Linked DNA regions of Drosophila melanogaster. The protein of the gene in region 2 purifies or fractionates together with the protein of the main gene of each other region. This does not show direct contact. Each region holds a gene or a part of one and is shown on either strand. Other genes may lie near its edges.

Region 1 (3,924 bases), on a different chromosome or scaffold from region 2:
GCGGGCCGCGCTGTCGAAATGCATTTCGTTTGTGCAACGAAAGTGCAATCATCTCCCGGCTGACACACACGCACCTTGCGAAATCCCCCCATTGAGAGCACCAGGCTTCAGCTCCACCTCTGCCCTGCGTTACCCAAGAGACCTGGTCGAAGTATGATTGCTTCGAACTTTCTTTTTTCTTTTTTTTTCTAATATCACCGACATATGTTCTCCGATTTTCGTTTATGACAAATCAATACCATATTCGGCTGGTGAACAGAGAAGCGATGATCTGCTTTCTAATTTCTATAACTTGATTCTTAAACACAAGACGCCATTAAAATAACCACCAATTTTGTTACTTTGCAGATGTCCCACCTCTACTCAACATTCGCTCAATTGGTAAGCGTGCACTGCAAGTCAACAGCCGCCGTCGGAGGCCTCCCAGTGAACCAGTGCAAGCACAACCTGCTCGGTTACGGGTCCGCCAAGCTGCAGACGCTCTCCGACGTACAGCTGGAGGCACTAGATCCGTATCAGCGCGATGCCAACGAGCTGAGTAAGTGCCTCTATCTGCGTGGGAGAATGATTGATTTCCGCGTCAGAACTTCCGCAGTGCGCAGTCGCGACGTGCTCGACGTGAGCTCTAAATCTCGGTGTCGATCTAATCGCTCTTTTCTTCCGCAGTCTGGTCATCGATTATGGGGGACCATCCGAGCGGAGCCAGCCTGGTGACAACGAGGCAGCCGCTCCAACAGCCCCTGCCAACTCCTCCTGCGTCCTCTCTGATCATCCTAACGCGCCAGCAACTTCCGCACGGAGCATCCCATGCCCACCCCATCCAGAGCTCCGGCTCCGCCACCAATCCAATCTTCGAGAGCGGCGAGCAGAAGCACAAATACGCCATGGACATGGACAAGGCCTACGGCTACGGGCCGCAGTCCAGCAGTGAGCTCCCAATGGCCGCCGCACTGACTTCAGAACCGTCCAAAAGATTCCTCACCGGACCTTTGGTGATCCGGGTGCGACCCGATGGCTCCCCGGTGGAGGAGGACAAGATGATGCCACTGCCGCGGGACGAAGACCTGCCCTACTTTCATCTTGGTCTGGCCGCCGCTCAGCCCAACAGGCACCGCAAGATCGCCACAATCAGCTCCTTAAAGCAGCAGCACTTCGCCTCTATCCTGCAGAGCGACCTCCAGCCACCCCACCAGACGCAGAGGCGTCTGTTCCGCCAGCAACAGGCGTAAGATCGCGGTCAGAGGATCCGCAGGCCTAGACCTAAGTCCTTGTGTGAATGTGATAGAGCAGATGAGGAGATCCTGCATCATAGAGTGCGAGAGTGAACGTGTGAGTCTTCTAGTTGTAGCCGTTTGAGGAGTTTTCTTGAATGCACTTGAGCTTTAATGGAATTTCGTATCGTATTCGTTTAAGTTTTTTTAATTTTATTTATTCGCGTGCATTAGTCGTAAGATCACATAGAGATTCTTGAGTAATAAACCGCATGATGATTATCATTGTTACGAACGTATTAATTCTAAAATGTGTGGATTGGGATGGAAATGAGGATGGGGATGCGGTCTGTGCACATAGCCAGGAACCGGTTGGTTATGGTAATACGAAAGTCGCATCTCGGCCAGCCACCAGTTCCTTGTCGCGAGCTCCACTCACACCTATATTTAACACGCGAAAGCCTTATTAACCCACATCTACAGAGTTGAGCCGAACAATGGAGGTACTGAATCCGGTTTGGCGGGTTCAGAACGCACTGCGCCGTCCATTAGAATTTGCGAGTTTTGGCAATTACATTTCGGTGTAATTTCGCTGGCAACTGGTTTGTCAGGCTCAGGCCTTTAGGACGCGCCCATTAATCTCAGCTGAGCAACAAAGGAAGGTAAATTGGGATGCACGTCACTGGGCTTGAATAAATGATGCCGGGACTTTCCACCGCCCTTGCAGTGCAAACTGCACTTCATATGCACGAGTTTTGGGCGTGTAATCAGTTTTATTGAAATTAGCTGCTTTTAAATTTAGATAGACGAGCTCGCCGATTGTCGATAACATTTCCGATTATGACAATATGACAATCAATGACACAAAAAAAGGCACATTTGAAACGATTGCGGTCACACTGGTCTAAGTTGTTTGGTAAATTAGTTAAAAGTAAATATTACTCCGAAAACAATTTTATTTCCTTAAAGCTTGTCAGCAAAGCAAAACGAGATAAGGAACGCAGTAGTATATAAGGTATATATGCAATAAACATGACAATTGCTTATTCCATTGTGACGCGTCGATGTAATTCCCACGCCTAATGAATCATTGCCCTAAAACTCATTTATTATACATTTATCCTTACTATTGCCGATATCAAATTAATCGATTTGGCTAATACTTTGCCGTCTAGTTTTCGAAAGAGGGGAATTCCCTCACCTGCGTTCACAGTCGTAAAATCTGATTATTAATACCCGCCATTGCTACCGCGACAACGGAGACATGTCGGACGAAGAGTCATTCGTTATCTTGGGTAGCTCGCCGTGCTCCTCGCTCATGCCGGACAGTTCCTTGCGGTCCGACGTATGTGGTAACGCGCAGGAGGCGAAGGAAACCGTTGCCTCTACGAGCACTCAGCCGCCAACAGTGAACTGTATTCCAGTCAGCATCACTGCATCGCAGCAGCAGCACAAATCGCTGGATTCCGGATCTTCCCAGCAACAATCCCTGGCGACCAGCTTCATTATGGGAGAAATTCAATCCGATGTCCTGAAGGTGAGCGTCTGGTTACCGTCTGGTCTGTTTAAATTCTAACAACAGTCTCTAAATCCAACCACAGAACAGTGTTTATTCGCAGTTTCCCAGCCTCTGCTCGTTGCAGGGCTCCGCAGAGGAAGTAGTTAAGCTGCAGAACATGATGACCGAGTACCTCGCGCTAAAGAGTGAGCATTTTTTTCCCGTAAAGTAATATACAGCAATAATATGCCATTATCCGGCCAGGCACACTTGACAAGGTCAACCAAACCATGCTGAACTACCACAACCTGACTCAACAATGGCGCCAGGAAGCCGCCGACCGAGAACACCAGTACAAGGAGCATGTGAAAGAGTGCCAAGCGCAAATCGCGATCCTTCGCGTGGAAAACCAAGAGCTGAAGAGGGACCTAGAGACGAAAATCGAGCAGATTGAAGGGGTTCATACCATCAGGCTAAAGGAGCAGGATGAGCTTCGTAAGAGCGTATCTGAGAAACAGTCCCTGATCGACAACATGCGCGTGGAGATTGACAAACTGAAACAGCTAAATGTATGTCTACCAGTTGCTCCAAGCGATAGGGCAAATACTTGCATACAGACTCGCAATCATTGCTATTCTGCATTGTAAACTGGACAGTATCTCTTTAAAATATTCTCTTCCGGGCTCGCACCCTTTTTCTTCTGTTATTTCAGCACTCGTTTGAGTTCGTACCAGAGTATGCAACCGAATCAAAATCCCAGGAGCTGATAAAGAAAATGCAGCTGGATATTAACGAGCTGAAGGCCAGGGACATCCAGAAGCAGGAGGTGATCAAAGGTCTACAGATCCAAAACGATATCTACCGCAGGGACTTTGAAATGGAGCGGGCAGATCGCGAGAAGAATGCCGGAGAGAAAGATCAGTATCTTATGGACTTGCGATCATTGCAGAGGAGGAACCAGGAGCTTATCGAAGCTCTGGCCGAGTCCCACAAGGCAAGCAAGGCGTGCTCGACCGCTTCTCCGCTGAGTTCAAGCAGAAGCAATTTGCGAGAGGAGCAGAGACCAGTAAGAGTACGCTGATTCCAAAGTCCATAAATGTCAATACTAATTTTTGTATCGGTAGATTCTCGACCCAACAGGCGCCTCATCCCGGACTTCAGACACCACTTTGCGATGTCCGATCTGTTCAAAGTCCTTTAACGCCTTAAGCGTGC
Region 2 (3,924 bases):
CTAATATACTAATAGACAGCAACCTACCCTGCTCCCCTTCCACGGCGTAGAAAAGCGGTGGGTTTCCGCCCCTCGCCTCGGATGCATTGATGACATCCCGCTTATGTGCACGGTTCTTTAGCAACGTCTTGTTCAGCTCCAGCCGTTCGCAGGCACGATCGTAGTACTTGGCGAAGCCCTTCTCGTCCCACTCATTCGGATTCGCTGCCTCCAGGGTTCTCCTGTACACCGTTTCCCCCAGCTCGCGCTCGTCTATACTATCAAGGATTGCCTCGACAACAAGGAACTGGTTATTGCGCACTGCCAGGTGCAAAACTGTATAACCATCATCGTTGGTTAGCAGAAGACTGTTCAAATCGATTCTGCGCAACAGCAGCCTAATGGACTCTATATTTATATGGTTTATCACCGCCAGATGAAGAGCTGTGTTTGAGTTCTCGTAGAGGTGGTCGGTCATCATGCGAGCGTCCAGGATGAGCGATACAATCTCGGTGTCCGTGTCGTTCGTCAGCGCAAGTTCCAGGCAGTCCTCGCCGTCCCTGGTGAGTAGTTCGTTGATGTCCATTTTCGCGTGGCAGCACACAAATATCTGACGCTTAACGCCGTAAACATCGCCGTGCAGTATTTCCTCGTGAATGGGTCTGAAGTGCCATGTGAAAAGATGATATCATTACGATGATGATGGTCTTATTCGGCTAAATGAATACTTACAGCAATCCTTCTTCGGACATTATGTGCGACTTTCTGAATTCGTTGGCCATGATGCGTATAATGCGGTCCTCGGTGTTTCCGCTTATAAAGTTTTCCACCCGGGTCAACTCATCGGAGTTGAACGATATATCCGACAAGGTAGAGTTTCGGCGTACAGGGGTTTTATTCGTGATCTGATATGATTCGAAGTTTTGCGCTTGCTGTAAGAAAGATATTTATAATAAAATCGTATATATATTTCCATTCGAGATTTATGAACTTAGTACTTTCCAGGAGGAACTACTACATCATAATAATACTTGTACTTACGGTGACATCCCTTTTCTTCCGTTTAGTGATCACGGGCGTCAGTTGCTTCTCCTCGCGCTCCTTAAGCGCCATCTCAGCCGCTGATCGCTTGACCACCTGTGGCACGCAGGTGTTTCGCTTTCTACCGCGCTTTTTAGGAACTTTGGTCGGATCTACTGGCGGTTTTATAGGTTCGGAACTTGAACTGGTCATGTGGCTATGCCTATTCCCTTTGGCTTCGCATGAATTATTTGTAATGCCAGGCATATGCGTTTCCTCGGTGTCCCAATCCGTTTGTGTAGATGAATCGACTTTTTGGACTCCGCACGAACATTGTTTACCGTGATTGGAGATAGCGACCTTATCGTTATTATTGCTCTCGTTTATCGCGTCGATCACCCTTTGGGTAAGGGCTTTGTCTGGGATTTTCATGAGTAATTTGAAGATGTCCTCGTAGACGGGCTGGAAGGACTTGCGCTGGATGTAGGTAGAGGCACTATGTGGCGCTGAGATGGATATCACTCGCAGGGAACCGACTGGTTTGATCACCAAAACATCCGAACTACTAGCGACGACTGGTTGGATGTGCTGGGCTTTGGTCAATAGAACCTTCTTCATCGTGGCCGTTTTACAATGCACTGCTCGATCTCGCAATATCTACCAGCGATAAGGCCGTCAGCTAGTGATTGAATTCGTGGGACTTCCAAGTTTAGGACGATCAAAAAAAAACTAATTGGTTTTTCCCCACGACACGCTGCACGGAATGGCAAGTAGCGGCACTCGGACGCTGCTCAACACTGCTCCTAAGGATGGTTGGTGAGCAGTCAGACAAGAGCACTGTTATTGCTGATAGCTAATGTAATGTTTGTTTTTTAAGAAAAGAGTAGTTTTCGTTAAAAAAAACTTTATAATTATGTTATGGTCTAGAACCTAGAGTTTTTAATGCTTAAAAATATATAGCCATCTTTCGTTGCAAAATACATAAATATAAAAGGGCCATCTCTAGCTTTAGAGAATTATCGGCGTTTCGCTGCGAATGGCACATCGAGTATTCTTGAGAAAAAAGATACGGTGGTCCTCCATAAGGAACCGGGATAAAAATATTAAGGCTAAGTTACCAAACAGATCGTGAAGGATTCCGCATCGAAGCTCTATTGCCACTGGTGCCTGCCCAGCGTCTATGCCAAAGCAAGTCGGCAATGGACTCGAGTAGTCGGCGCAGTTTTTCTGGTGGAAGTGAAAACGAGGGTGGACGGGGCAGCGACTACTATAGATCCAGGCCGGGGTCTCGATACAGTCGATCCAGGTCGCGTTCCCGGTAATTCTACCCTACCAGCGTAATGCGATCGTGTTTATTAGTACTGTGTACCCTTTTCAGTGAGCGCAACCGCAGCCATGGAGGAATCAGGCACCGGAACTCTCGCTCTCGAAGTCGGGATCGGGATCGGTCGCCCGTGTTCAGAAACGATCAGCATCGCGGTGGTCGAGGAGGAGCTGGTAACGGGGACCCCGACCTTTACCACAGCCTGATCAACGACGACTACAGGGATCAGGATGAGCGCAACTACAACTCCAGGAGCAACTTTGAGAATCGTCAGTTCCGGCGACATGATAGCTTCGACCGTCGGCATCGGGACCGAGATGGCGAGAGCGATCGGGAGCTAAACGACTACGAGTACGAACAGCGCTCCCGCGACTTGGACTCACGTGATCGTAGCTCCACGGACAGGGACTGGTATCACAACAGAAGTCGGAGCAGGGAACACAGCAGACCCTGGAACAGAAACAACAATCACGACGACAGAAGCAGAAGCAACGAGCGAAACACGTGAGTATAAAGTATACATACACTTCAGGCTAAATAATAAATCGGACCGTGCAGGCGCCACCGAGATCACCGCATGTACAACGGCGGTGGCAGCAACCATAATCGCGATCGAGATCGAGATCGGGATAGGGAGCAAGACCGTGAACGTGATCGAGATCGAGATCGGGATCGTGAGAGAAGGGGCTCCTCAGATTACGACAGCGATGAAGGCCACATGCGCAGGAACAAATACCGATCCACCACTGAAGCCCTCAATATTATTATAATCTTCGGTCTTACCAAGGAAATGACCAGAGCAGATGTAAGCCAAGCAGAAGAGTGGCAAATGCAACTCCTTTAATTACTCATGAACTAACTTTTTTTTTAGATTATGAGCGAGCTGATAAAGGTGAACATGGAGCCAGCGTGCATTCGCATTATCCGGAAGCAGGGAACAGGTGGGTTACGAAATCACTGACTTTGTTCTTTCAGCGTCAGACGTAAGTAGGTCCAAAAAGTTGGAGCGGCTTCGCGCTAATGGAGGCGAAGTGTACAAGTACCAATCGAATTTAACCGGCCACATGAATCGAAAAGAATACAATAGTCCACAAAAATGTTACAAACCTATCGAAACATTCAACATTTTTTGACGAAAACATTTTGTATCTGCTTCTATCCGAAAATTTAGATTCATCACGCGGTATAGCGTTTGTCGAGTTTAACACCGTTGAGGAGGCAAAGCAATGGATGGATATTACACAGGTATCAGCGCAATCGACCAGATCCCCTTGAAACTTTGATCATCATCAGCAGCCAAGGTTGTTCGCAGGCAATGATAATAAGGAATTCCTCACTGTTTAGCTTGCTTTGTCCAACTAAAAGTACTTATATGTAGTTGCAAGGAAACTAAGCACGAGTATAGTATTGCTTCATTAGAATTGCCCAAGAAAGCCACTCGAGGAGATTGCCAGCGGCTAAAACTTCGCGTTACGAAACACAGATGCAATCCGGTGACTGTGTAGAGTGTGAATGAAGGCATCCTAGCGATCGGTTACTAATCCGCAACCTTTCCTTCTCCTATTTCCATGTCTGGCGCACCAGGGCGTTCTGAAGTTAAA

Evidence for each region.
Region 1: the proteins of Charon (region 2) and key purify together in Drosophila melanogaster (affinity purification with mass spectrometry, with the first as the bait; one large-scale study listed by BioGRID). This does not show direct contact.

The regions. Positions count from the first base shown.
Region 1 is NT_033778.4:24,785,593-24,789,516, reverse strand, and holds the start of key (kenny), read left to right. Parts: upstream 1-2,105; 5' UTR 2,106-2,226; intron 2,227-2,386; 5' UTR 2,387-2,475; coding exon 2,476-2,748; intron 2,749-2,812; coding exon 2,813-2,915; intron 2,916-2,973; coding exon 2,974-3,278; intron 3,279-3,421; coding exon 3,422-3,781; intron 3,782-3,833; coding exon 3,834-3,924. Other genes in the region: Reg-5 (rhythmically expressed gene 5), read left to right, coding at 349-538, 667-1,229.
Region 2 is NT_033779.5:1,171,003-1,174,926, forward strand, and holds the start of Charon (charon), read right to left. Parts: upstream 1,804-3,924; 5' UTR 1,618-1,803; coding exon 1,021-1,617; intron 912-1,020; coding exon 712-911; intron 642-711; coding exon 28-641; intron 1-27. Other genes in the region: CG4887 (uncharacterized protein), read left to right, coding at 2,199-2,317, 2,378-2,827, 2,882-3,128, 3,195-3,264, 3,495-3,568, 3,908-3,924.